Linked DNA regions of Arabidopsis thaliana. The protein of the gene in region 3 interacts with the protein of the main gene of each other region in a pairwise test. Each region holds a gene or a part of one and is shown on either strand. Other genes may lie near its edges. The genes, in order: AT5G53480, SIRANBP and RAN2.

What was found.
Region 1: the proteins of RAN2 (region 3) and AT5G53480 interact in a two-hybrid assay, tested with the Arabidopsis thaliana proteins (one study listed by BioGRID).
Region 2: the proteins of RAN2 (region 3) and SIRANBP interact in a two-hybrid assay, tested with the Arabidopsis thaliana proteins (one study listed by BioGRID).

The regions. Positions count from the first base shown.
Region 1 is NC_003076.8:21,710,572-21,722,364, forward strand, and holds AT5G53480 (ARM repeat superfamily protein), read left to right. Parts: upstream 1-2,673; 5' UTR 2,674-2,911; intron 2,912-3,436; 5' UTR 3,437-3,444; coding exon 3,445-5,858; intron 5,859-5,939; coding exon 5,940-6,138; 3' UTR 6,139-7,307; downstream 7,308-11,793. Other genes in the region: ACBP1 (acyl-CoA binding protein 1), read left to right, coding at 1-383, 770-872, 995-1,083, 1,287-1,378, 1,460-1,557, 1,644-1,820; AT5G53486 (uncharacterized protein), read left to right, coding at 11,251-11,317, 11,386-11,442, 11,658-11,722. UniProt on the Arabidopsis thaliana protein: Acts as a negative effector of drought tolerance. Involved in the regulation of stomatal closure and in the abscisic acid (ABA)-mediated pathway that lead to drought tolerance.
Region 2 is NC_003070.9:2,188,583-2,197,973, reverse strand, and holds SIRANBP (Pleckstrin homology (PH) domain superfamily protein), read left to right. Parts: upstream 1-4,137; 5' UTR 4,138-4,285; coding exon 4,286-4,440; intron 4,441-4,560; coding exon 4,561-4,712; intron 4,713-4,818; coding exon 4,819-4,944; intron 4,945-5,360; coding exon 5,361-5,614; 3' UTR 5,615-6,295; downstream 6,296-9,391. Other genes in the region: MAPKKK13 (mitogen-activated protein kinase kinase kinase 13), read left to right, coding at 2,196-3,695; AT1G07135 (glycine-rich protein), read left to right, coding at 7,350-7,817.
Region 3 is NC_003076.8:6,760,888-6,770,283, forward strand, and holds RAN2 (RAS-related GTP-binding nuclear protein 2), read left to right. Parts: upstream 1-1,681; 5' UTR 1,682-1,929; coding exon 1,930-1,932; intron 1,933-2,058; coding exon 2,059-2,128; intron 2,129-2,468; coding exon 2,469-2,525; intron 2,526-2,606; coding exon 2,607-2,724; intron 2,725-3,076; coding exon 3,077-3,494; 3' UTR 3,495-3,796; downstream 3,797-9,396. Other genes in the region: RAN-1 (RAS-related nuclear protein-1), read left to right, coding at 67-184, 443-860; AT5G20030 (Plant Tudor-like RNA-binding protein), read right to left, coding at 4,084-4,680, 4,766-5,149; IPT9 (isopentenyltransferase 9), read right to left, coding at 7,052-7,151, 7,242-7,381, 7,468-7,543, 7,749-7,843, 8,224-8,336, 8,566-8,791, 8,939-9,137, 9,252-9,360. UniProt on the Arabidopsis thaliana protein: GTP-binding protein involved in nucleocytoplasmic transport. Required for the import of protein into the nucleus and also for RNA export. Involved in chromatin condensation and control of cell cycle.

The DNA.
Region 1 (11,793 bases), about 15 Mb from region 3:
TCTATCCTCCTCGCTTTTAAAGACGAGAATCTCTCACTCACTCGTAACCACACGACTCAATCGGAGTATGAGAACTTGCGAAAGGTCGAAACTTTAACTGGGATTAGCGGCGAGACTGATTCTCTTATAGCTGAGCAAGGTAGCTTGAGAGGTGATGAAGATGAATCAGATGATGATGATTGGGAAGGTGTCGAAAGTACAGAACTTGATGAGGCATTTAGTGCTGCTACGGCTTTTGTTGCTGCTGCTGCATCGGATAGGCTTTCGCAGAAAGTTTCTAATGAGTTGCAACTTCAGCTTTATGGATTGTATAAAATTGCTACTGAAGGACCTTGTACTGCTCCTCAACCATCAGCTCTTAAAATGACTGCTCGTGCCAAGTGGTTTGTCTAACACTCTTATTGATTCTCTGATTCAAATGTTTGGGACTGTGAAAGATGATTGCTTGATCATGTTTACTTGTGATGTACTGATGTTTCTTGATCATGGATGTATATTATTTTGATTTCACCAAGTTCGTATCTTTCATTGCTAATGTATGGAAAGGATTGCTTTTGTTGGTGTATTGATTAGTGATCTGATTCAAATCTTATGACTGTGAAGATTGTTACTTAATCATGTTTACTTGTGATGTACTGATTATTCTTCATCCTGGATGTATCTTGCTTTGTGTGAGTACCGAAAGGATTTGCTTTTGTTGTTTTGTTGATTGGTAACTTAGGGATGCATTTTGATCGACTGAGATTTGTTATGATCTTTTTTGTTCTAGGCAAGCATGGCAGAAATTGGGTGCTATGCCTCCTGAGGAAGCGATGGAGAAGTATATCGACCTTGTTACTCAGCTTTACCCAGCTTGGGTTGAAGGTGGCTCGGTTAGTTGTCTTCTTACCTGCTTCTGTTATTCCCATTTCTTTGGACTGTTTATGGATGGTCTGTTTTCGTTCTTAAATCTGTCTTTATTTCTTGGCTTGTTTGCTTCGTTGCGGACTATTAGAAACGAAGAAATCGGAGTGGTGAGGCTGCAGGCCCCATGGGACCGGTTTTTAGCTCATTGGTGTACGAAGAGGAATCTGACAATGAGTTGTAAGGTTCCTAAGCAATTAGTTACAGATTCATCTATGAACTTTTGGTTTTCTTTTCTCAGTTTCTCTATATGACTAGCTGACTAGATCAGAGAAGGAATGTATATATCATAATACTCACCTTAGGTAGATCAAAGAATCATGTGTTAGTTTAAATCATAGTAGAAGCTCTGTTCATTCTTGCGTTCTTACTCCATGTTCCAGGAAGATTGACGCCATACACGCCTTTGCTAGAGAAGGAGAAGTCGAGAATCTATTGAAATGCATAGAAAATGGCATACCCGTAAATGCAAGAGGTTAGTAGTCTTGTATCATTTTCACAGAATGTTCGGATCTGGTTTGGAAACTTAACAGTTTCTCCATCTTGGAAATGTCAGATAGTGAAGGTCGAACACCACTGCATTGGGCTATAGACCGTGGCCATCTTAACGTTGCTGAAGCTCTGGTTGATAAGAACGCAGATGTGAATGCTAAAGTAAATAAATAACCAAAACCCCCTAAACTAATTCTTTCTCTCAATTACAGACTTTTATGTTTTTGTCGCTGACAAACTTTGTGCAGGACAATGAAGGCCAAACCTCTCTACACTATGCTGTTGTGTGCGAAAGAGAAGCACTCGCCGAGTTTCTGGTGAAGCAGAAAGCTGATACAACCATTAAAGACGAAGACGGAAACTCGCCTCTTGATCTCTGTGAATCAGAATGGTCTTGGATGCGAGAGAAGAAGGATTCCAATTAGTGTTTTTTAAGTCTTTAAAATTGTGTGTCAAAGCTAGATGCTTGTGTTTTTCTTACATTTCCTCTGAGCCTCTTTGCTTCCTCTTAAGCTTATGTTTTAACATACAACAACACAAGTTACATATGATATAGTAGCTCTAGTTTTTATTGGTTACTATATTGAACCCAGAGAGATCATCATCATCAATCATCATAACTCAATAATAGTTTTTTTTTTGTTAGTATAATGTTTCTCTCTTTCGTTCGTGACCCTTTCATGTTTTTTCAGCCATCTGAATCATTATTATCATACCTGTAAAACAATTTTGTTGATTACTTGTAAAATTTATAAGTATTTTAAATATGATACAAATTGTACCTTCGGAATAAGAAAAGAAAAAAAATCTTCTTCTTCGCATCTCGCTGTAAAACAATCCGGACCGTTGATTAATTAACGATGAGAATATATAAGGTGGGGTTCAGATAAGGACCACCCAACACGCGATGTACGACATAATCACTCCAGATTATATCAATTCTTTAATCAGAAATATATTTTTAGTGTGCAAAAATCATAAAGAAAAATATTTTCCCTTTTTATATATATATTGGGTAATTCAGATTTTTTTCTATTTATGTTTTTATTTGAAAAAAATAAGATACACTGAACAAACAATTATGATTGGAAACAAATTTTCATATTTAGAAGATTTATACAACTTTTTTTTAATTGGGTAATTTTAAAAGATATTTTCCTATATATAGTTTTTATAAAAATATTAGGATACACTGAACAAAACCTAAATATACAATTGAGTACAAATATATATAAGTTTGGAAAACAATTTCAAAATTAATAGATTTACATAATTTGTGTTCAAAACAGTTTTTTTATTTGTTTATATAAATATTTGGTTAAAAGTTTAATAATAAAATTTAAAGTCCATCTTCACATCCGATTCTTCTCTTCTCTTCTCTCTCTCTCTTCCCTTTTTCGCTGGAACTGATTTTTTTCTTCTCTCTCTCTCTCTCTCTTCCTTCTGGGCTTCTAGGGTTTGTCCTCTCCAGTCCCCGATTTCCGCTTTATCCGATCGGCCGCCGCCGAGATTCTAGGTTACCCTTCTTCACTTCATCTATTCAACTTTCTCCCTAAGATCCATCTTCAGATTCATCACTTCCCAATTCGCTTTTTTTTTTTCCTGATTCGATCTCGATTCGTTCAATCATCCATTTCCAACTTTAGTTTCGATTTGTTCACTGTTTTATGATTTGAACTCGTTCGTAATCTGAGATTTGCTTTTCGATTTTTTAGTTAGATTCATTTGTTCTATTAACTTGTTGATTTGGTCATCTTAGTAACTAGTTTGATTTCGTGTTTTATATTCGATTTCGTGCTCGGATCTGTTGTTCTGGCTGTTATAGTTGAATCTGACAGTGTTTTTAAGCGTCAATGGCTCGTGCTTTGATCTCTTATTGCTATTACATGGTTTTTTCGATTCATAGTGATTTAGTAGTCTTTCACCTTTATGGCTTTTTGGATCGTTGACGAGTTTCTTCATGTTGTTGGCTTAATTTACTGATTCTGTCTTACTTCTTCTTTATTTTCAGTTTTGCTGAATCTGTTTGTTTCTGTTGCAGATAAACCTATGGCAATGGAGGTTACGCAGTTGCTCATTAATGCTCAGTCGATTGATGGAACTGTACGTAAGCACGCGGAAGAAAGTCTTAAGCAGTTTCAGGAGCAAAACCTTGCGGGTTTCTTGTTGTCGCTTGCTGGAGAGCTTGCGAATGATGAGAAGCCAGTAGATAGCAGGAAATTAGCTGGTTTAGTCCTTAAAAATGCTCTTGATGCTAAGGAACAACACAGGAAGTATGAGCTTGTTCAGAGATGGTTGGCTCTAGACATGTCAACAAAGTCGCAGATCAGAGCTTTCTTGTTGAAGACACTGTCGGCACCTGTGCCTGATGTTCGTTCGACTGCATCTCAGGTCATTGCTAAGGTTGCAGGTATTGAGTTACCACAGAAGCAGTGGCCTGAGCTCATAGTGTCTCTTCTCTCAAATATTCACCAGTTACCTGCTCATGTCAAGCAAGCCACTTTGGAGACTCTTGGATACCTATGTGAAGAAGTGTCACCTGATGTTGTTGAACAGGAGCATGTAAATAAGATACTCACAGCTGTTGTTCAGGGTATGAATGCTGCTGAAGGTAATACTGATGTTAGACTTGCTGCAACCCGTGCTTTATACATGGCTCTCGGATTCGCCCAAGCAAATTTCAACAACGACATGGAGCGTGATTATATCATGAGAGTTGTGTGTGAAGCAACCCTGTCCCCTGAGGTGAAAATTAGGCAGGCAGCTTTTGAGTGTTTGGTATCTATCGCTTCCACATACTATGAGAAGTTGGCGCATTACATGCAAGATATATTCAACATCACAGCTAAGGCTGTAAGAGAAGATGACGAGTCTGTTGCTCTACAGGCAATTGAGTTCTGGAGTTCTATTTGTGACGAAGAGATTGACATCTTAGAAGAATATGGTGGTGAGTTCGCTGGGGATTCTGATGTTCCATGCTTTTATTTTACTAAGCAGGCTCTCCCTGGTCTTGTGCCTCTACTGCTGGAGACTCTTCTGAAGCAAGAAGAAGATCAAGATTTGGATGAAGGGGCTTGGAATATTGCAATGGCAGGTGGGACATGCCTCGGTTTGGTTGCTAGGGCAGTTGGAGATGACATTGTTCCACATGTCATGCCGTTTATTGAAGAGAAAATATCAAAGCCTGATTGGAGAGAGCGAGAAGCTGCAACTTATGCTTTTGGTTCCATTTTGGAAGGCCCTTCTGCCGATAAGTTGATGGCAATTGTTAACGCAGCGTTAACATTTATGCTCAATGCTCTAACAAATGACCCAAGCAACCATGTGAAAGACACAACCGCATGGACCCTTGGTCGGATATTTGAGTTCCTTCATGGTTCAACAATCGAGACACCTATTATTAATCAGGCAAACTGCCAGCAGATAATCACAGTACTCATCCAGAGCATGAATGATGCGCCTAATGTTGCCGAGAAGGCTTGTGGGGCTCTGTACTTCCTTGCTCAAGGCTATGAGGATATCGGTCCCAGTTCTCCGTTAACACCCTTCTTCCAGGAAATTATTAAGTCACTTTTAGCTGTTGCACACAGAGAGGATGCAACTGAATCACGCTTGCGGACTGCAGCATATGAGGCATTGAATGAAGTTGTCAGGTGTTCAACTGATGAAACGTCTACCATGGTTCTGCAATTAGTACCAGTGATAATGATGGAGCTTCACAATACTTTGGAAGGGGAAAAGCTTTCATTGGATGAGAGGGAGAAACAAAACGAGTTGCAGGGACTTCTATGTGGATGCTTGCAGGTCATCATACAGAAATTAGGATCTGAACCAACCAAGTCTAAGTTCATGGAGTATGCAGACCAAATGATGGGACTTTTCCTGAGGGTGTTTGGTTGTAGAAGTGCAACTGCACATGAGGAAGCCATGCTTGCCATTGGTGCTCTTGCTTATGCAGCAGGTCCCAATTTTGCCAAATACATGCCTGAGTTTTATAAGTACTTGGAGATGGGTCTTCAAAACTTTGAAGAATACCAAGTGTGTGCTGTTACTGTTGGTGTTGTTGGGGATGTCTGCAGAGCATTGGAGGACAAGATTTTACCTTATTGCGATGGGATTATGACACAGCTTCTGAAAGATTTGTCGAGCAACCAATTGCACCGATCAGTGAAGCCACCGATATTCTCCTGTTTTGGTGACATAGCACTTGCTATCGGTGAGGATTTTGATAAGTACTGGAGGTATTCAATGCCGATGCTTCAGAGTGCCGCAGAGTTATCTGCTCACTCGGCTGGAGCTGATGATGAAATGACGGAGTACACAAACTCATTGAGAAACGGAATCCTTGAGGCTTATTCAGGCATATTTCAAGGTTTCAAGAACTCCGCCAAAACCCAGCTCCTGATTCCTTTCGCACCCCATATCCTCCAGTTTTTGGACAGTATATACATGGAGAAAGACATGTAAGTTTGGTTACGACCCAACTGAATTTCTATTATGTCATAGCAGTTGTTTAATTTTGTGGTAAAATTGCCTTGGGACAGGGACGAGGTGGTGATGAAGACAGCGATTGGGGTCTTAGGAGATTTAGCAGATACACTAGGGAGTCATGTGGGTGGTTTGATACAACAGTCAGTGTCAAGTAAAGAGTTCTTAAACGAATGTTTGTCTTCTGAAGACCACACAATTAAAGAAGCAGCCGAATGGGCGAAGCATGCCATAACCCGTGCCATATCTGTTTGAAGGCTCTTCTTTTGCCTATAAGAAAGAAAATTCCTTTTGCTTTTTAGTAAAGTCTGCATGCATCTCTGGGTGGGTTGAGTCGGTCGGGGGGAGGGGTAGAGCTGCAACATCCGAGTCACATCAGCATCATCAGCATCAGTTTCATTTGCATCATCAGCATAACTGGGGTCAGTCAGGGAATCGTTGAGTCGTGGATGTGGGGAATGATGAGTTTTGGGGTAAATAATGAAACTGGAAGAGTCACGGGTGAAAGTTTCCCGGGTAAGGTTAAATCCCCGGGAGTAGAAAGAGGAGGAAGTGAGTCATGGTCGTTTTCTGGTGGGTTTTGGGACAAAGTTATACCAAAAAAAAAAAGGTTTCATGGAACATCTCATAATACATTCTTGTTTTTTCTTTTCTCTCATATGTTCTTCAACCCCTTGAGGAGGGAGAGGTCTCAGGTTTTTATCAAGTGGGGGCATTATTAGAGGACAATCCCTTGATTTTTTCTTTTGTTTTCTTTTATTATTTGGTTAGTTGCAGTCTTTGCATCATCATTTTGTCTTTTGGGGGGGTTTGTATGTTTGATTAAAAGCATTATTCACATTTTTATTTTTATATAAAGAAGTTTCACATGTCTGTCTATCTTCTCTTTGCTATGATGCAGTTTAGGGGGTTTTGCATATATACTTGTGTTTTGTTTGCAATCAAGTTTCAAATGTCACATACAGGAACATTTTTATTATATGGTGTCATGTCTTAGGGTCTTAAAGAGGTCCACATCTATTCATTTTACTATGGAACTGTTTACAATCGTTTAGAATCCATTATTTGATTTGGCTCGAACTATATGGGAAAGGGCACATGTTAATAGGAGAAAACGTCCTGCCTTACTCTGCTTCCAAAGAGTCAAGTTAAGAGATCGAAGAACATTTCACATTCACGCTGTTTATGGAAACCTCAATTTTGATTGTATGTGTTGCTTTTTTTTGGTTTTCCAAACGCCAAATGCAACTGATACCGAACCTATATTTTGAAAAATGTTTTCATGTGTATTTGAAACATTCTAGACCATTCAAGTTATGGTTTAAATTAGTTTCTCTCGGTTCTATGTATTAGTCCCAAACCATGTTTCTGACGTCTCGAGAATTTTTCTCTTGAACTAAATATATAATGTCATAATTCATTCGACATATCTTTTTCGAATTGATGATTTAGGCGAGAGAAACGTTGGTTCTGTTGGTATTTTTTTTTTTTTCATTGTGATGACATACCCATTTAAATCTCACTCAAATGGACAATAAAACACATAAAAGATAGATGATGGCTAAACATCCAAGAGAAATAGGACACGCCACTCTGAATTGAAATTGGGAGTTGAAAAAGAATGGTGGTAATACGAAGTGGGCCTTTTTTATTGTCAAAGGACTTGTCCAAGCACACCCACATATATCACATACACTGATACACACACAAAAAAAAAAAACATTTTTGTCGTCCGCGACGATTTTTTTCATATTCAAATAATTTCATTACGGCGTTAATACTTTATTTTGCGACTTTAAACTTTACCTTTAGTCTTTAAATGCAATACTGAAATAGCACCGAAAGATATATGAGCGTCGTCAGCTGAAACTGCCAAAAAAAGGAGAAAATCTTACGATCCAAGTTATTAGTCAAAAGAAACATAATTATTGATTAAAGCATGAACTTCTTGCGACAAAAAATAACTCCAATTTTTCTTTCAATAGCTATTATCTAACACATTTTACCTTAAGGTTACGGATCAATACATTTTTAAAAATAATAATGATTAGTAAATACTTTCTTAGAAGATGAACGCCATTAAAGAAAACTCTGAAAAAAAAAAAAAAACGGATGTTTTTTAAGAAAATTAATTCGTTTAGTAGGACAACGAAAACCTAATATATAAGCTAATTTAATGGATAAAAACTAGAACTTTGGTTCAAACTACATTTATAGATCTAACTATGCGTTCTCATTGCCTGATGGCTTTCATTTTTTGATGTTGTTCCTTCTAATGTTGATACGCTCTTAAGCGATGATGTTATTGGGTATGTGCGCCTAAGGCAAGTAAGTTTGTAATTTTTCTTATAATTTTTAGTCTCCCGTCTTCTACAGAAAAAAAAACTACACTTATGAGATGAATTGTATATTAAAAATTTAAAACGAAGGAAATATTTAAGAAAAGTAGTGAAATTATTAGTTGTGGGTGTCTCGTGATTTATTATTCGCGTTGTAAACTATGTTAGTATTGAAATTGTGTTTTTGTTCTCTTTTTTTTTTAACTAATAGACGTACGTTTTTTTTTTGTCAAAGACTAATAGATGTACGTTTCGTCGTCTTTCTGTGTAGTTGACATTGGACAACAGAAGTTAAGACTTAAGACACGTACGTTGTTGCCCAATAAAACATTGCTAATTTAGTGGCTCATTGGTTTCTTATTCATCACTCCTTTTAAACGCAACATATAATTGCCGACACATTGATTATTTCCCTACTCACGAACTTTCCCTTTTTTTTTTTTTTTTTTGTGAAGTCATGCATAGTCTTCGGACAGAAGAGCTGCACGTACATGTGTTAACTGTTAAGTGAATAATGTTTTAGATAGTACAACGATTCTACTTAAGCAGTTTAGCTGGTTTAATGTACGTGTAGTCTATATTAGTTTTTATCATATTCAGATGCTGAAAAAGAATCTGTTTCATTTTATTTTTTATAGAAAACTGCAGATATTTACTTGGAGGTTGTGAGAAAACATTTTAAGATGGAAATAATTAACCAGTTAAGAAAGTTGAAGTGCGAAACCATTTTTTTATATGAAAGGATCTATAGAGGGGATTTATAAAGTCTTCTAATCTAAAATATATGGGTTATGGTGCAATACACACACACATATATATAAGTATAACCATTCATATGGTGACTTTTTGGGGGTAAAAGTTCTTTAGTTTTTGGGATTTAGTAGAATTATGGATTTTAGGTCAAAACACATAATGTTATGAGGAACGATGTTTATTAATTGTAAAATAAGATTTTGGGGGATAGTGGTCTCTCACTATAATAATGGGTCACTTAAAAAGATGCACTTCTCTGATACATTTTGCAGGCCACTCGCTATGTCTGTCTCAATCCTAGTTGACTTCTTATAAAGTTGTGAAGGCCGAAATGGAAGGATTAGTTCCACTATTTCTCTTTATTTGTATCAAATTATTTAGTGTTTGGTACCACGGATTTTAAAATCTGCCCTAACCATCTTTTGACTTCCTAATTACTTACGTTATTCCCCTGTCTAGGAGTTGCCTACCATGTTGGTTTATGTGATCGAAGTTTACTGAACTTAGTCTATCTATTTTGATCCCTGTAAAATTTACATTGACCGCAAGGAAAATGTTTTGATTCCACATTTAAACTTTAATTTACTAGTACTGATCTTTGTTCTAATATGTCAACTGTACATGGTGTATTTAAATATAACAACCAAAATTTCAAACAGAAATTGGATTAAAAGGTTTTGAAAATAATCATTGGATTAATAAGTGTGTTCAAGTTTGGGTATTTGTAGGGTCTTTGTTTGAAAAGTGTGTACCCTTGATACAAATCTTCGCTTTCGTTTTGATTCATTAACAGCATTGAAAACTTACAATAATTACGTACGAGTTTGGTATGATTCCATCTTTACTTTTGATAATGGACCCAATTATCTTAGCAGAATTCAATTTCCAATAAAATTTTGCGTCAATAAGTAGACTTAAGATCACACGTGGTGCTGCACTCATCGAACCTATGATACATTACAGCTGTATGGGAAAAAGTGGTGAAAACAATGGGCTTAAAAGTTAAAACTTAGATTAAAATCGATCATGTAACCAGAATGAAACTTTTCCTTTAAGAAAATATATTGGTTTTGACTAAAATCATCTAAAATGAAACATCACTTAGAAATAAGAACTAGTATAATAGAGAGTGTTTTGAGATCAAACCGATTAAAATTGTAAAATAAAAAAAAAATGTTTTCTTTTTTTAATGAAACTCAAAGGATATAATGAAAATTTATATGGTCAAGAGATGAACTTCCACTCAAGTTAATGAATTAGGTCACTTTTCTTGCATCAAACAAACCTTTTTTCATTATGATTTGATCCACATATATAACCTTTCGGATGGCTTAGGGCACAACTTACTCTAATTCAAGTATTTGATGGTTCCCACTTCACTTGGTTCACAAACATTTACAGTTAGTAATCTATACTCAGATTTAACTTGTTATTCCTAATTACATTTTCCTATCTGGCAAATTAACAATATAGATAAACTATTTATCTATCATCAAAAATTGATTGCCAGAAGAAAAAAAGGCTAATTAAAAGAAACGTCAACTTTTTGTTTGGTAGTTAAAGTTTTGTGACTTTTGTCTATAGTATATCTAGTACGGTCTAATTAACATAATCATAAGATAAAAACGATATACAGAATTTGAAATTTGAACAATGTCATGCTATAAGGAAAAGTGTGTTAAGAAAAAAAGTGAGGTTACTAGCTAATATACGATTTTTGTCCACAAGCATAAATAGAGGTAAGCGTTAAGTGTTCCTTTTTGGGAGATGTAACACAATCAACAGTTAAGTTGACTTTTTCAACCTTTTCTAGGGTTTGTGGCCTGTAGGTTCATTGCGTTAACCCAATAACTTCTTATTCTTCTCATTTTTGTTCTTGCTACTATCATCACCATTTTGATGTTAGTAGTCTCACCACTGTTTTCACCTTTTTTTGATAATTGTTTTGTGATATATAAAAAAAATCGATATCTACGTGATATTCTTATTTTAAAAAGTTATATTGATAAGAGCTTTACATATTTTCATTGTCATAAACAGAACCAACCATCTTAGTCATGGTCATCATCATTGTCATAGTCATCATCATCACCATTACGACTAATATTATACATGGACCATAACAGTTTCCACCACATTAACTTGACCGTTTATAAAATGGGAACTAACCTTCCCCATCTTCTCATATGAAAATCCATTTTGTCCTCATTTTCCATTGATTAGTTGCATTCTCTCCCCTAAACGAACAAAGAGTAATCATCAAAAACCATATAATATGCCTCTTAGGATTGAACCCCTATCTCTACTCTTCCTCATTCTCATTATATGCTCTTCATCATTAGGTAAACATATAATTGATATTCATATATTCCATCCTTTTCAATTTATAGTCTTTTAACTTTGTTTTAAGGGATGACTATCAACCTTGCGTCCCAACACATCCATCTTAGTCCGAGATCAGCTTTTGGTATTATCTTGTTGAACATTAGTCTTTTCTTCGTTGTTGAATCTAGTGCCTTAAACTACCTTAATACCATTGATTATTAATTACTATTATATTGGTGAACACTTTTTCCATTCTTTCTCCAAAATTAAAACACATCTAACTAACTAGTATGGGTTGAAATAAATAAGTCACTTAAAGAACAATGTATATTCCGCTAACAGAGTGTTTTCTTTTAGCCATAGTGGAAGGCTCTATCCAGCTCGACGGTGCGAAGATGCATGAGAGTTCCATGCTTTACAAGGTATACATCATACATGTAGATGCTTTACGTTTATATATGTTCTTATCAACATTAGAAATGTTGTTAATGTC
Region 2 (9,391 bases), on a different chromosome or scaffold from region 3:
ACTGTCTTTACTCTCTATTGATAATCCTTATAGCCTTATAGGTCTTCTATGTAAAAACTCGTTAAGGCTTGTAAGTTGTATGTGAGTACTTTACCACTCAATACATTATATATTACTACTCTTTTATGAGATAATGTGGATCGACTTAAATGTGTAGGCTAGTACTGGTTTGTTTCAAGAGTTCATAAAATTCATGTTTTGAAAGTTTTTTACTTTTACGTTTATATGGACGCGTATTTCTTAACTACGTTAGTTCATAAATATCTTAGGCTCTTAGCCATTACCTTAATCCTATAAAATATTGAAAAGTCTGAAAGTTTAGTACGGTATTAAGTACATAGTGCAATGTCATTTTCTTAAGTTGTTTTCCAAGTGGATTCTCCTAGACATGCAAATTGGAAAATATGGTATGGGTCCTAAAAATCTTCAAATAATATCTTATGTTTTGGACATTTCTAGTAATTTATTCACCCACACATATATAAAAGGTGAAATTAGTTGCCCTAAGAGGATATGGAAGCAGTGGTGGACCGTTCAAATAGCACTTCACGTTCGCGGAAGGTCAAAGCTTGGCCAGAGAAACAACAAACAAAGTACATATATAATTTAGTTGCGGCGGCATTTTTTTTCTTTTGGAATTAATGGAAGAAAGGTTTCTGTATTTTGAAATAATTCAAAGATCAAAGAAAGATTATAGTGCATGCATAAAAGTTCGAATTCTAATGGTTAGCTAAATCATTAGCAAGCTTTGACCAAACTTCAATCGTAGTTTCAAAACACTAAATTGATATGTTATCAAAACTTTGATCTTTCTACCACTACCAACCCACTATAAATCCCAAGAAAGATACTATTGTAGTGATCTGGCTATTAACCATCCCAAGATTAATTCCCAACCAACGATCTCCTCAATTAAAAGTTAAAACCCTATCTTTTATTTTCTACCTTCCATCTTCAACTCGATCTCCGTGATATCTTTGGATAACGTTTTTGAGTAAATTCTTGTGCTTCCTTCATGATCCCAACCAAACAAAGAATAAAAACTAATATAATATTTTCACTATGCGTGGAGGTTGATCAAGCACGTCAATTCCCAATATGTGTGTTCAGACAACTCGTTAATATGTCAAAGAACGTGAGCCAACCGCTTCATGCCACGTAAGTTTCCAAATGGACCCCCATTTTTAAAACCCAACCCCTTTCGGCAACCTCTTCCTTCATCTCCAACCCCTTTGACAACTCCGATAATTTATTCGGATATCATCTACTTCGCGTATATATTCTGTTACTGTACACCCTCACCTTCTTTATGTTAATTGTTTGACGAATATAAATTAATTTATGTCCATTGCTTATGATTGGCTAAGACATGGTTTGGATTCATGAATCCTTGATAATGATTTGTACGTACGTCGACTACCGTATATTCCATGTCTGATCATGTCTTCAGGTCAACCAAATAGAAACATACCAGAAATAAGTCAATAAATCAAGCGTTCCAAATCTATAGGCACGTTTTTGTTCATTTGTCTTCTCCACGATCGGTGATCCGATCACTTAAGTAAAGAGACGATTTTTTAAATGTTGAGGTTATAAAAACGAAAACGATTGCGTGAAGCTAGAGGGTGTGTGTGATTTTATCTTTGCTGAGTAAAATATTAGCGGACAAGATCAAACCGCAACTTGAGTCTTGGTGGATAAGGATTAAGGAGACAGGGCAAGTGCATTGTTTCTTAAAAACATCCCAAGAACTTCTCCAAGTGTCATTAGGAGTGACATAAAACATTTTCTTCTAATTTCTAAAATGATCCTTTTTCTGATTTATTTGTTCTCTTTTCAAAACGACTAATCATTCCATAAAAGTAAAAAATTTGTAAGGATTAAGTCTAGATTTCAATAGATGTATATATAATTAAAATTGTTAAAATCCAAACCGACCATCGAACATGGTATAATTTGTTCAAAAATCTAATGATAGACTCGAAAGTTTGTGTTGTACATGACATATCCACGTGGGAAATTTTACAAAGATGAGACTTTACAAATCGAAAAGACAAGTGTACAAGAATAGTCCATGTCAGAAACAAAAAAAATTGCAACTTTATTTCACGTTCACATTTTCTGTTTTGCAGTTCCAAAACACGCATATAAATAGCTTCGTGTTGCACAAGTACGACATATGAAAGTTGGCACACATGGAGAAACAGAGCATCAGAAACACTTGTTCTTCTTCTTTAATGTTATCCTCACCATCTTCTTTTTGGGTTCGTGGTGCGTGTATCGGCAGAGGTTGTTTCGGTGCAGTTAGTACGGCGATCAGCAAAACCAACGGTGAAGTTTTCGCCGTGAAATCCGTGGATCTCGCCACGAGTCTCCCCACTCAATCAGAGTCTCTCGAGAACGAAATATCTGTCTTCCGCTCGCTAAAGCCTCACCCTTACATCGTGAAGTTTCTCGGCGACGGAGTCTCGAAAGAAGGAACGACGACGTTTAGGAATCTCTACTTAGAGTATCTCCCAAACGGTGACGTGGCTAGTCACAGAGCCGGAGGAAAAATCGAAGACGAGACTCTGCTCCAGCGTTACACGGCGTGTCTTGTCTCTGCTCTCCGCCACGTACACTCTCAAGGATTCGTTCACTGCGACGTCAAGGCGAGGAACATCCTCGTCAGCCAAAGCTCCATGGTCAAGTTAGCCGATTTTGGGTCGGCGTTCAGAATCCACACACCGAGGGCTCTGATCACGCCACGTGGAAGTCCGCTTTGGATGGCTCCGGAGGTGATCAGACGAGAGTACCAAGGTCCGGAGAGTGACGTCTGGTCTCTCGGCTGCACGATCATCGAGATGTTCACTGGGAAACCCGCTTGGGAAGACCACGGAATTGACTCGCTGAGTCGAATCAGTTTCTCTGACGAGTTACCGGTTTTCCCCTCGAAGTTGTCGGAAATCGGCCGTGATTTCCTAGAAAAGTGTCTGAAGCGAGACCCGAATCAGAGGTGGAGTTGCGATCAGCTTTTGCAGCATCCATTTCTCTCTCAGTGTCACAACTCATCTCCGACTGAGTCATCTCCGCGTTGCGTACTTGACTGGGTCAACTCGGGGTTTGACTTAGAAGAAGAAGAAGAGGAAGTAGGGAGATCAGAATTCGAAGACGCGGCGAAGGCAATAATTTGTAATTTGGCGACGACCGGAGGAGTAATTTGGGAGTCAGATGGTTGGGTGGAAGTTAGATGCCACGCTTCGGAAGAGGAAGGGACAACAATGGAATATTCGGGATCCACAAGGGTAGAATCGGAATATAACACATCATCGGATCCAAACGATGACGTGGCTGGTGACTCGGCGATAATTGACGTTTCTATGTCTCAGAATTTACCGCCTGGAAACGGGGGATCGGCGGCGGCGCTGCCATATGAATTTGTGGTGGTTTTACATTTATTAATGGAAATTATGGTTTATACTACATGTATCTTTAGGGAAATTGTTCTCACTATGTATTTGTTGTATCAGTATAATCAAAGCAATAAACTCGAAACGTTGTCTTTTAATCACAGCCTCAAGTTTTGTTTGTTTGCACATGTGATTCGGATCGGACAAAACTATCTTTTACGCGGTGAGATGAGATCGAGTGTCTTAATTACGAGCCATTGCCTTATATTGATAACTCTCGTTTACAGCCAAATAGTTGTATTTTAATGTGAAAAAATATTGCGACAAATGGTTTTGGTTCGTAAGCTGGTGGAAGACTCAAGAGGCCAAAAGAGACTTTGGTTTTATGCTTTAGAAGACTTTTGATTCATCCTAATAAGTATTCGGATTTTGGAGCATTTAAATGAATCATAGAGGGAACCGGACCGGTTGAAGATGGTTGTTTGTTTCGACTAGGCCTGAAGGACCAAGGTTATGCATGTACGATTATGTATCAAACTGAACGAAGTCGTTACATAGAGTTTAGCTCAAGCATATCATCATATTCTTTTTTCGATCTTTAAGATTTTTCTCTAATCTCTATGCTATAAATCATTAAGATTTCTCTAAAAAAGGATTAATTTCCCTTGAGATAAATAGCTTTAAAAATAACCCAGATACAATGGGTTTATATGGGCCATATATATTTTTTGTCATAAGAAATCGGCCCATAGTTAGCTTCAATTCAACGCCGTATAACTATGAGTCGTTCCGATTTCCTGTGTTGCGAAACCCCCAAATTCTCTTCTCTCTATCTCTCTCGCGTACGCCGCACCGTAGCGACCAATTGAATCCACGAGGAAATCTCAGTAAATACTATGGCGACCAACGAACCCGAGCACGAGCACAGAGACGAGGAAGAGGCCGGAGCTAACGAGGATGAGGACACCGGAGCTCAGGTCGCTCCGATCGTTAGGCTTGAGGAGGTTGCCGTCACTACCGGCGAGGAAGACGAAGATGCCGTCCTTGATCTGTAAGTGTTTTTCTTAATTGGTGTTTATAGTTTTTCTGATCTAGGTCAACTGGATCTGATCGAATTTATAAGGTTTAGCTTTTGGTGTGTTTGACTGAATTTTTGTTTGTGAATCTAAAGGAAATCGAAGCTTTATCGATTCGATAAGGATGCGAATCAGTGGAAGGAGAGAGGAGCTGGTACTGTGAAGTTCTTAAAGCATAAGAACACTGGGAAGATTCGTCTCGTTATGAGGCAATCTAAAACTTTGAAGATCTGTGCTAATCACTTCGGTATAATTTCTATTTGGACTACTTTGTGTTGTTTTTGAGTTGCATCTGGATCTGTATTTAGGTTACTGTTTCCTTATCTAGTCTTATGCTTCTGATATTTCTGCAGTTAAATCGGGCATGAGTGTTCAGGAACACGTTGGGAATGAAAAGTCATGTGTGTGGCACGCTCGTGACTTTGCTGATGGTGAACTCAAGGATGAGCTTTTCTGTATCCGATTTGCTTCTATTGAGAGTGAGTATGAAACCGAATTTTGTAATGGCTTGTGTTTTGCCTTATTTAGTCTCAGTTGGTTTGATAGATTCACGGATTAGATTACTGATGGATCTTGACCTTAGCATTGCTATATGGCTACTTTGTTAATTGGAGGTTCTCAAAGCTTCCATCATAGGCATGCGTTATTGGGTTCAGGAAATATCAAAATAAGTACTGTGGCGGTTAGGTTGTGGTATTGCATTGTAAAGAGATAATATTGTTCTTGAGGTGGTCAAGTATGTATTTAGGCTGCAACTAATTTGATATGCCAACATGGTCGACTGTTTCTTTTTTTATTTTGGGTAAATATTATCAGTAGTTTCTGAGCTGTTGATCATATTAACCGGGAAAAGTAGAGATGCTTGTGGGTAATCAAATCTTATTTTCCTTGTCAGATTGCAAAACATTTATGCAAAAGTTCAAGGAAGTTGCTGAGTCTGAAGAAGAGAAAGAAGAGAGCAAAGATGCCGCTGACACTGCTGGCCTTCTTGAGAAATTGACTGTGGAAGAGACAAAAACGGAGGAGAAAACCGAAGCGAAAGCTGTGGAGACGGCAAAGACTGAAGTGAAAGCAGAAGAAAAGAAAGAGAGCGAGGCAGAGAAATCTGGTGAAGCAAAGAAAACAGAAGAAAGTGGTCCCTCAACATAAGAAGCGTCATCATTTAAGTTGCCAAATCCTGGCGAGGTAATTAAGCCTCGAAATGTTTTGATGCATCATGAGTCTACCATTGTCTTGGCACTATCTATCTATACATGTTTTGTCGAGTCATATCAAGTGGTTGGGGGATCGCTTGGGGTCGGGTTTTACTGAATGCTGAGTCGTTATGGGTCTAATAGTTTTTGAGTCTAAAGTGTCGGGTGATATGAGAGATTTGGGTGAAATATTTTTTCATGTTGGTTATCTGAAAGAGTACATTGGTTTCATTGTTTTAAGTTTTCTCATGGATCCTTTTTGGATGGTCTTATTTTGAGGATACAAATGTGTTTGTCCATGGACAAGAATCAGAAGTCTCCATTTTTTTTTTTTCAAAATTTAATGCATGTGATTTTTTAATCTTAAGGTAATTGCCAATTGTTTGACAAAAAAAAGGTAATTGCCAATCTACTTTGCTCTCTTGTGTTAGTCGATGCTAGTCTTGACCCTGATAAAGATCCAAAATGTATATTAACAGTATTCATAAAATTCTTCAGTTATAACGAACTGTTCACGGAAAAAAAATGACATTGTACTATACTGTGCTAAAATTACCAAAGCATGATTTATATAAATCATATCCAGTAAGACCATATGTGAATGAATAACAATGGATTATGCTTAGGTTAAGATTTTATTAAATTTATAACACTTTTAAAATAAATTTGGAATAATACAAACATATAAACCATTCCTATAACACCATATTTAAACATAACAATGAATTGCTTGGATTTCAAACTTTATTAAATTTGGATTTTAAATTTTAATTTGATTGAATTATACCCCCTTAATTGGATAAATTCAAATATGTCAACTTTTTTTTTTTGTAAGATTTTTTTATGGAAAAAAAAATTGATTATTCACTAAAAAGATGACAGGTTACTTATAATTTAATATATGTAAACCCTAAAAAGAAGAAAATAGTTTCTGTTTTCACTTTAGGTCTTATTATCTAAACTTCTTTAAGAAAATCGCAATAAATTGGTTTGAGTTCTAACTTTAAACACATTAATATTTGTGTGCTATTTAAAAAATAATTTACAAAAAAAAAAACAAATTGACAGAAAATATCAGGTTTTGTAATAAGATATTTCCTGATAAATATTTAGGGAATATAACATATCAAAAGATTCAAATTCTGAAAATCAAGAATGGTAGACATGTGAAAGTTGTCATCAATATGGTCCACTTTTCTTTGCTCTATAACCCAAAATTGACCCTGACAGTCAACTTGTACACGCGGCCAAACCTTTTTATAATCATGCTATTTATTTCCTTCATTTTTATTCTATTTGCTATCTAACTGATTTTTCATTAACATGATACCAGAAATGAATTTAGATGGATTAATTCTTTTCCATCCACGACATCTGGAAACACTTATCTCCTAATTAACCTTACTTTTTTTTTAGTTTGTGTGCTCCTTCATAAAATCTATATTGTTTAAAACAAAGGTCAATAAATATAAATATGGATAAGTATAATAAATCTTTATTGGATATTTCTTTTTTTAAAAAAGAAATAAATCTTTTTTGGATATTTTCGTGGCAGCATCATAATGAGAGACTACGTCGAAACTGCTGGCAACCACTTTTGCCGCGTTTAATTTCTTTCTGAGGCTTATATAAATAGATCAAAGGGGAAAGTGAGATATAATACAGACAAAACAAGAGAAAAGATAAAGAAAATGGGTTTGAGAAGAACATGGTTGGTTTTGTACATTCTCTTCATCTTTCATCTTCAGCACAATCTTCCTTCCGTGAGCTCACGACCTTCCTCAGTCGATACAAACCACGAGACTCTCCCTTTTAGTGTTTCAAAGCCAGACGTTGTTGTGTTTGAAGGAAAGGCTCGGGAATTAGCTGTCGTTATCAAAAAAGGAGGAGGTGGAGGAGGTGGAGGACGCGGAGGCGGTGGAGCACGAAGCGGCGGTAGGAGCAGGGGAGGAGGAGGTGGCAGCAGTAGTAGCCGCAGCCGTGACTGGAAACGCGGCGGAGGGGTGGTTCCGATTCATACGGGTGGTGGTAATGGCAGTCTGGGTGGTGGATCGGCAGGATCACATAGATCAAGCGGCAGCATGAATCTTCGAGGAACAATGTGTGCGGTCTGTTGGTTGGCTTTATCGGTTTTAGCCGGTTTAGTCTTGGTTCAGTAGGGTTCAGAGTAATTATTGGCCATTTATTTATTGGTTTTGTAACGTTTATGTTTGTGGTCCGGTCTGATATTTATTTGGGCAAACGGTACATTAAGGTGTAGACTGTTAATATTATATGTAGAAAGAGATTCTTAGCAGGATTCTACTGGTAGTATTAAGAGTGAGTTATCTTTAGTATGCCATTTGTAAATGGAAATTTAATGAAATAAGAAATTGTGAAATTTAAACCTCCCTCAATCTTAAACGTTATATCTTTTAAACGCTAACTTGTTAAAGTGACCAATGGATGATTTAATCATCATGATTATTATTATTCTTCATTGGCCAATTATTGTGGGCTTATTAGATTCAAATTTGGTTCTCCTCTGTTGTGTGTTTAGACTATCAATTATATAAAAAAAAGACTAATGATGGTAAAACTCAGCGTTTAACTTATCTTTTTTTCTTGAGAAATTTCTAATAAATTTGAAATAAAGACCAAAATAATAAAATCGCAATACATATGGTTTTCAAAGATTTTGCATACGAAATATTACAAAATAAACTTAAACATAGAGACCAAAAGAAACTTAAACATAGAGTTATTCATTTATTATACTAACTCTAATTTCTTAGTTTTCAACATTAACACAGTCGTTGTTTAGCTTGATCTTCTTATTTGGTGGTTCAATTTTAAATTCAATATGAAATTTTTAATCCTTTTCAGACTTTGTCCTCTTTCCTCCGAAAGACTATACGTCCATAACTTCTCGACTCACCAGCGAGTTATGGAGAAACTCGGAGAAATCGGTAGTGCAACAAGGGCAAGTCATGATGTTTAACTTACTTTGTAACAAAAGATAATCTCACCTTCAAAGCTGTGATTTAGACTAAGAGTGCCATTTTGGTCAATTTATGTTCAAATTATTTTACATCATTGGATCAGAGAATAAGTTAGAGTTGAAAAACAAAATATAAATTAAAATTTGATATTCGTTAATATATTAACAAAATTAAAATTAATAAATAACACATCAAGTAGTATATTAAAAAAATTATATTTACTAAAGTGTTTATATAAAAAAAATTATAAGGCCAACAATTTTATGTTTTTAAGATCCGAAGATGATTGATAAAAGAATCCAGATTTTTCTTCAAAATATATTAAAATGGGCTTTTTTCTAAATGATTATTTATTATTTTGTTATTATTATTTTTAACAAAAGTGCAAAGAATTTTCAAAAAGTAAAAAATTAAAAAAATTCTAAAAATACCCAAAATTTCTCCACATGCATAACAAAAAAGTCCTTTAAAAAAAAAATTATTTGTCTTGGTCAAGGGCTGAAGACATTAAGACCATAGCCTGTGCTAATCTGCATGTATTTGTGTGATCTGTCGAATAAAAAGTACGTGAATTTGCTTACATATTGTAGGAGCTTCCTTTCATGTATAACCTTTTGCTCAATTGATTATGTAATTACAATGTTTTTACCTTGAAAATAAAATAATACATACATTTTTAAAATATGTATCTCGGCAGCTTAATGAGACTATTTCTTCCTCTTTCCCTTTATTTTTTCTTAAAAAAAAACTCT
Region 3 (9,396 bases):
TCAGATTTCTGTTCTTCATGTCTCTTAAATGATTCTGATTTTGAGTCGTAATCTTGTTTGTTGCAGCTACTATTGGTGTGGAGGTTCATCCATTAGATTTCTTCACAAACTGTGGCAAGATCCGTTTTTACTGCTGGGACACTGCTGGACAAGAGAAATTTGGTGGCCTTAGGGATGGATACTAGTAAGTGTGGACCCTTTACTTTCTCATTGATAGGTTAGTGTCTAGAGTCAATCTAGAGTGTGCTTAGTTTGGATTAGCTCTGGTTAGGATTTGAAATTGGCAACCGATTAACCTGGACAATGGGTATAAGACTGGTATGTTTTGAAGTATGCATAGTTTGCAACTGATTTTGTTACCTGGACAAATAGAGTAGAACTTGAATTTTAATTTTGATATTCCATCTGGATGTATAGCTAATCATCTTTGAATTTCTTGCAGCATCCATGGTCAATGTGCTATAATAATGTTTGACGTCACAGCACGGCTCACATACAAGAATGTTCCGACATGGCACCGTGATCTCTGCAGGGTGTGTGAAAACATCCCGATTGTTCTGTGTGGGAACAAAGTTGATGTGAAGAACAGGCAAGTGAAGGCAAAGCAGGTTACATTCCACAGGAAGAAGAATCTGCAGTACTATGAGATATCAGCAAAGAGCAACTACAACTTTGAGAAGCCTTTCTTGTACCTTGCTAGAAAACTGGCTGGAGACCAAAACCTTCACTTTGTGGAGACACCAGCGCTTGCTCCACCAGAGGTTCACATTGACATTGCTGATCAGCAGAAGAACGAGGCCGAGCTCTTACAGGCTGCAGCTCAACCCCTCCCCGATGACGATGATGATATCTTTGAGTAAATCATCCTTCTAGAATGTCTGCCGTGGGAAGCTCTTGCTTGTTCCTTTTGGTTTTCTCTATGTTGTTTTGGTGTTACATATAAATCAATCGGTCTTTCTTATAACAAAAATTAGGTATGTATTTTTGGATGGTTCTTCTGATGGTATCCAAAGCTAAGTTGTTTCTTCGCAAGAATATTAGTTGATTGGAAAACTTTATTCTACCTCCTATTACTTGCCAGTTCTTAGATTTCAGATGCCACTCTTTAGCTACCAGGTGATGTCATATAAACCTGGGTAAAATTAGCTGCAAGTAGATCTTGTTGGGAGACCTGACCTGCATTGACAATGGTTAAGTTCTTTGCCTTCCCCGATCTCTCTAGCTTTGCAGATTCTTCTGCAATCCTCTTCCTTTTCTTCTTTGAAACTTGATCTTCTTAATCAATCCGCACCAGAACTTGTAGAATAATAATCGGATAACTTTTTGTTTGGCAACCATTCTTGCATTGAAGAATGAAGTAACCCTTTCCCTCAAATCAACGACCGATTTCAATCCGTGATTCCAGACATTTTCTTCAACCGTGAGCTCTAAGACCAATTTCTGCAAGTTTGAGCTTAAGAATTTATCGATGTGTATATTAATTTCTGGAAATATTGTTGGTATTAATATGTTACCATTAAATTTGAAAGGCATCATTAGATGGATGTCATGTGAGTGAGTACTTGAAATTTTGAAACTATCCGTTACGGACAATAAATCCTTATTTAAATGATTTGTTAGTAAAAAACTATGCTACAAATAAAATCAAAACTTCACATACGATACAGGAAATAAATATATTATTTATTTTGTCAAAACTCAAAACCAGGACCTAAAGCTGAAAAAAAAAAGATCCAACGGTGCAGAAAGCTGCGTAGATATTGGAGAGCCAAAAGATGGAATCTAACGGTGGAAAAAATAGCGTCAAACCTAAGCCAAAACCTCCCAAAATTCTCCTTATTAAAACCCCATCTCTCTCCCTAGTCCCTCTCGCCGCATCGCTTCTTAAACCTCGACGACATCAACGTCTGACTTCGCTTCTCCTCTCACATGGTGAACATTCTCTTCTCTTTTCCCGATTTCTTCGTCTTGTAGTATTTAGATCTCACGAGATCGCTTAATTTCGTTGATGTTTCTTTTTTCGGATTTTACTGAATTTTGTTGTGATATCTTGTTCAGGCTCTACCTAACCAACAAACCGTAGATTATCCTAGCTTCAAGCTCGTCATCGTTGGTGATGGAGGCACAGGTACAGTATTCTTCGCCGTGTTTTTTGACCTATTGTTTTTTGTGATCTCTGAAATTTGATCGTCTTTTCACTGTCCCCATCTGAAAGCATTCTCGTTTAAGAGACGGATTTGAGATTTTGATGATGTGCTGATTAGATTTGTACGATTGGTTTTTGATAATATCAATGTTTGATTGGTTTTAAAGAGAACCTTACAGACTAGGCCTTCGTTGAGCAGATCTTTGGGATATCGATTCTTAGATGATCCGGAATGTTGTTTTCATTGGCTCAGTTTTAGTATGGTTCAATGTTTTTGATTAGTTCTTGCTAAACCTATGATTGCTCTTGGTGTTTTGTACAGGGAAAACGACCTTTGTGAAGAGACATCTTACTGGGGAGTTTGAGAAGAAGTATGAACGTAAGTATAGCAAAGATGCTTGTGAATGCACAATTTCTGTGAACATCATCTGATGTTGAGTCCTAATCTTGTTTGTTGCAGCTACTATTGGTGTGGAGGTTCATCCTTTGGATTTCTTCACAAACTGCGGAAAGATCCGTTTTTACTGCTGGGATACTGCTGGACAAGAGAAATTTGGTGGCCTTAGGGATGGATACTAGTAAGTATACATATCTCCATTGATATGTTTGTGTGTATACTCAATCTAGAGTGTGTATAGTTTGGATTAGCTCTGGTTGGTTTGTGCGTAAAATTGGCAACCGATTTGTTACCTGGACGGTGGGAATAGGAATCGTATGTTGTTGAAGTAATCTGTTAAGATCTCAATATCTATTAAAGTTTGCATTGTTTTGATTAGCGCTGGTTAGGTTGTGAAATTCAAGAACCATCTCACATGTCATGTTTGCAACTATTGTTACCTGGACAATAGGAATAGCTGACTGGGACTTGAATGATAATGGTTTGTTTGATATTCCATCTGGATATATTGCTAATCTTCGGTTTTCTTGCAGCATCCATGGTCAATGTGCGATAATAATGTTTGACGTCACAGCAAGGCTCACATACAAGAATGTTCCGACATGGCATCGTGATCTTTGCAGGGTGTGTGAAAACATCCCGATTGTTCTGTGTGGAAACAAAGTCGATGTGAAGAACAGGCAAGTGAAGGCAAAGCAAGTCACATTCCACAGGAAGAAGAATCTGCAGTACTATGAGATATCAGCAAAGAGCAACTACAACTTCGAGAAGCCTTTCTTGTACCTTGCTAGGAAACTGGCTGGAGACCAGAACCTTCACTTTGTGGAGTCACCAGCTCTTGCTCCACCAGAGGTTCACCTTGACATTGCTGCTCAGCAGCAGAATGAGGCCGATCTTGCAGCTGCTGCAGCTCAGCCTCTCCCCGATGATGATGATGACGCATTTGAGTAAAATCTTCCAAAAATGTCTGCTGTGGTTTTCCTCTATGATGTTTTTTGAGTTGATGTTACATATAAATCAATCGGTCTATTTTAGAACCAAAATTGGGGGAATTATTTGGATTGTTCTGTTTTTTGGGACCCAAAGAGAATTTGCAGTCAAGTTTTTTCTGCCTTAAAGAATATGCGGTTATTGGAAAACTTTGATTCTACCCACTTTTCTTTTACTTTGCCAGTTGCAACATTTTAGATTTTGTAACTATTGTAGCTACTTGGTCATATGAATCAAACATAAAAGGAGAATATTTAGCTGTGCTACTTGAAATTGTTAGTTTAATCACTAGTGTTTCAATTACGTACACAAATCTTCTCATCTCCTTTTTTATGTATAGCTTTTAGGCCATGGCATGAATCATATATACATTGCTAGTCTTCCTCAAGTCCAACGCAAAGATAAAAGAGTAAAGATGATCAAATTTTCTTTCACAAGTTTGGAATTAAATCAAAAAACCTGAATGAAAAATAAAATGACATTTGTACAATCTACACTCAGTTTTTATTCTATGTAACACAAACTGTAGTTCTCAATGCTGCTGCTGCTGCTATCTGTATATAGTACTGTTATCGTCAGAGATAAGGTTTCTTATCTGCATCAGATGTTCCTCATTCGAAATGTTCAATTTGAGACGGAGATTTGTAATCCACGTTTCTTGTTCCCATGTTATGATTGGTCCGGATGCGTGCAATCTCTCGATACTGCTTCGGTATGCATCCAGCTCTAACCTATGAACATCAGCAGCCTCTGAGCCTTTTCTTGGAACCACCAACTTCTTGACCTTCCCGTAGCCACAAGACGATGACTCTGTGTCACTAGAGTTACCGGTTTCAATGGGATTGAATGAAACAGCACTGAGACCATCAGTATCCATGCAACAACTACCAACAGAAGAAGCAACACTCTCTCTATCTTCTTCTTCTTCTTTCACTTCTTCACGAAACCTTGGAGGATAAGCAGCTAAAGCTCTAGTTTGATTGTGAGGTTCAACCAAAGAGTAAGTCCGTTTCTTTAGACCTACTGACAAAGGTACATCAGACTCATCAAGCTTGTCTTTGCTCTCAGATGAAATGTAGTCGCCTTTCGGATTCACCTTTCTCCTTAGTTCTCCTGTTGAAGTCTGTGCGCTTAATCTTGATGTACCCTTCAGCCAAATGGTAAAATAAACAAAATGTCAGCTCAAAAACAGACTTTAAAAAGATATAGTCACAGAGGAAAGAAACAAGTACCTGTCCAATCATGATCCACTCGTTATCTTGCCAAGATTGTCTAACCCGAATATCGGATTTAGTCACCTTGAACTTCAGTGAGGAACCAAGTAATCTAACCAAGAAACAACCGTTTCCTAAAACCTTGGAAACGATTGCCATCTTCCACGAACAACTTTGGAAAACCTCAAGAATGTCACCAGGACACCAAGCATCAAGAACTTGTAAACGAGGAGGCTCAGGCCTCATACTCTTCCTCGGTACCCTCTCTGTACCATCATTATGATCATACATGACAGTGTAGTAATGCCCATTTCCTGATATGATCTCTGCAGACCGCCAGGCGCCAGATGGAACCGATGATTTGCTCAACACTTCGACTTTAGTTCCCTTGTTGAATCTCATGATTGCTGCTTCAAAAACACCTTAAAGTAAATATCTTTTCACATTCCAACTGCTTATAAAGATCAGAATTGAACATCACATATGCTAAAAGGCTGGTGCTTCACAATCATTAAGCAACAAAACAAGATAAATACATCCAAATATCCAGAAACAAGTTGGACCAATAAGATCCATTAGACTCATTCACATCCAAAAAATTCAACTTCAACCAATTGGTATAAAGATTACAGATTGTTTTGCTTCATAATCACTAGATTGCAGAAAAAGTCCTAAATTGCAAAAAACCAAATCCAGAAGCATACAATGGCTTGAAATGTTAATGAAATTGAAAACAGAGTATGACTCAGTTCCTAGGATCAATCTTCATTACTGAGAAATTGATTAGGGGAAGAGAATCAAAAATCTTTAAGCGGACATGAAGAGACTTAAAACTCAAAAATTCAAATTAAAAAAAAAAGAAAAAAAAAATAAATTTGAGATTGTGATTGTGATTACCTGAAAACGAAGTTTTAGTTTTTAGGTTAGTGAATGTTTAACACGCAAAGAAAGCCATGAATGATTCTACTGCCAGAAACAACAAAGCTTTGTTTTTTTTTCTTTGATATTTCTGGGCAACCAAACTTGGATCAAAAGGGCAAATAAAACAAAATTAAAAACGTATATGCAAATAATTATCAAAAGGAACAAAAAAGATAAATGTATATTCCACATCAGCAGCAGCAAGCCAAAAATCATTTTTTAAATGAAAATATTTTTAAGAAAATGAAGAAGAGAATATTTCAAGTTGCATGAGAAATAGCCTTTTTGTTTCATTTTATTTGATATGGGACTATTTTGTGTAAAATAACCAAAAAAAATGTAATTTGATAAGTGAGAATAACTTGATGGTTTGTTGGAAGATATGTAAAAGATTAAAAGTTGAATTTGTTATGTTTTCTTATATTTGAGATATCTAAAAGAGAATTGTTTCAACATTAATTAGACCTCTATGATTTGGTTTATTTTTCATAGGAGTGGTGTATAGCATTTAATTAATTCAATGAATGATTTTGATATGAGTTGACCAAAAGAAAAAGAAGATTAATTGGAAACATGATGTTGTAATCTAGGTGTTGATCAGCCTAAGATAACACTAAACATAACGAAAGTGCAAAATTTATAAATTTAATCACCTTATCTGAAAGTTATCATTATTTTGAGACTAACATATCCCTTGCTCGTCTTATTGGTTCGACATATCAAATACTTACACACTTATGTACGTAATTATAGGATAATCATAGTCTGTAATTCATAGTATAACAGTTTATCAATATGTATTGACGTTACGTTATTTGTTTGTTTCTAGGTGAGCACGAGCAAAGTGCGTGTTCCGGTGTGCCAAAAGTTTCGACATATTTACTTAATTTAAAAACAGTTATTAGAAAAAGAAGGAAAAAAAAACGTAATGGGGATGGTCAGGTCAGGTGGCTTTACATAATTCCCAATTCACTTTTGAGTTTTTGGTCATAAAAAATATTATCGAGATCGTAGGGTCCATATTTTTTGGCTTCTAACGATCAAATTTTATATTTTAGTTTGTCTTTCCCTTGCAGTACTTATTCATATCTTCTTGATTTCACAACGGATTGTGTCATCACCTGAACAATAGTGTTAGAATTATTTGAATGCGACTCCTAATGGTTCATAAGATTTTACAACTTTTGAATTTCTCTTTTTTGGAAATCATTATTGCTTCCTAATTGTATGAGCTCATGAATAAAGAAGGGTGTGCAATATTTTCTTCATACGTGTACTCAAGAACATGATCCAAAATCTTGTCTACTCGTAAAAAGTTTATAAGCAAAACACACTTTTGTTTTGGTTTTGGTTTTGGCTTTTCCGGATAAAATGAAGCAGTGTTTATGCTATTGCGCTTTCCACGCATGAAGCTTCACTCTTACATCCTTCACTCCTGATCCATTCTAACACCGAAGAACAGTCCTCTCGTCTTACGAAATGCCTTCATTAAGAGATTCAACCCATTACCAAACGAAGAAGAATTTAATAACCAAAAGAAAGCCTAATTTAGTGTTATGTTTGATCTTTGTACCTGTTTTTGGAGCGATACCCCTTTAGTTCAGAAGCTTCTCGAGAATCTCTTACGTCTTTGCTCATTCTTAGAGACTCCGGTATCTCCACCATCTCTGCTTCGCTCTCATAAGCATCGTATATGCATTGAAGTATTGAATCCTGCCAGAACAATGAATTATCACAATGCTTGGTTGATAGTATATAAGAGACTGAATAGAACAGAGAGAGCCCTCTTAAACATATACCAGAGGTTTGGAAGCATTGAGCCAGTGGTACATAGGCTCACACCGGAACCATGTCATTTGCCTTTTTGCAAAGTTTCTGCGTATCAAGCAAACCAAGTATTAGTTTAAAAGCGATAAGAGAGGATAACATGGGTTCTTTAAACTTTTGCAGGAGACAAAAAGTGAAGAAATGAATCAATGTGAAAGAATCAAAACAGAACTTCGACTTTCATTTATTCTCAATCACTATTTCGTCCAAAAGCTAATACACTAGATATTTCAAGTCTATGTAGAGGATTCACCTGGATGCTGTCTGAAATTTGTTCAAGAAAGCATAAAATTCTCTAGGGGAACTTTCGCCCTCATATCGACGACATTGTAATAGATATTCCATGGCCTGAAAACAAGGAATCATATTTCCATTGTTGATCAAAAACGGTATCAAAGTACGACAAATAAATTGCAATGATGAAGTCGTAAAGTATTTCATTTTTCCAACTAAATAAGAATGGACTTCCTTTCTGAACCAACTTGGTATAAGTGGATGATGATATATGCTAATAGTAATGGCTATATGTCTTAAACCGAAAAATAACTGTTATATAACATGGAGTCATGCAATTTCTAGAACCAAATCCATATTCTTCACTGAACTGGACATGCTGCCAAATTAACAGCTACAATCCACTGCAGAGCCCTTGGCTAATTATAAAGACTATGCACTAGATTAACAGAAGAAAGCCTTCTCTTCTCAGTTCGTTATTCACAACCCAGTACAGGAAATAAAGAGTTCACCTGTCTGTACCCAATGGCACGAGTTGCAGGATTTGAGTTTGGAAGAAGACCAAGATCAAGAAGCCATCTAGCTTCTGACAAAACTCCATTGGGTCCTGAGTTGAGAGACAAAGCACCAAGGAAAGATAAACTCAGAAGCAATGCCAAGCAAATATATACAAAATTGCATACGACACAGCAAAGAGCATGCAAATTGTCTCTTTTTTGGGTTATAATTAGAAGAATCAGATAAGAAAAGACTTATTACTGTAAGGTGCCATGCAATGGGGCTGCAATTGTATTCTTGCAAGTTATTACTAATTAAGTAGTAGCACTTATTTTTACCTGAAAGCATGTCTTCACATCTGAAATCAATAGATCTGTAGAGAGCAACCCGTGGGCTTGACAAGAAAAAACAAAGAAAGTCATAGTCCAAATCTGTCTCTATGTTTTGGATAGAGATATCGGCAGATGAACCGTCCTCAAGGAAGTCATCAGCATCAGGAGCAACTAAATTTACTCGAAAGGAATCATAAGGAATGCGAAAGGAAGACGGAGGCGATCCAGTTGACTGCCAGGAAAAAACATTCAAAGCAAGATTAATAGTGCATAGTTGCATACAATCCAAAATAAAACAATGATAGTTCATCAACCTATCAGGCAAGAAATCATTTATCTACAAGGGCAAGACAACAGTTGAAGTTAATAATTGTCAAACCTTGAGTATCTCGAGGCTACGGCGTAGTCTGTACCAATCATTACGAGGTAAAGAAGAAGCTTTTGGATCACCAGCATTGACCACCAACTCCACAGCTGCGTCCCAGTTATATTCGGTTTGAAAACCAACTAGCATATCATGGGCCTCAGCGATAACTTCTGGAGAAGGTTTAGGCACATCCGGCTTCCCATACATAAACCTAACATTAACAAAAGCATGTAAATGGATGAATTCTAGATTTTGCAGTATACTATAATTGCTTTTAACATTATACGAAAGAGCCACTAGACAAGTATATAATCTACAGCCATACCATCGCAGATACAATCCAGTTCCACCCGTAACAATGGGAACACGCCCTCTATTAAGAATATCTTTGGTAGCTTGCCTTCCATCATCATAAAATTGCCCCACAGAGTAGTCTAACAAAGCATGGAAAAATGTGTAAGTTTCTTCCT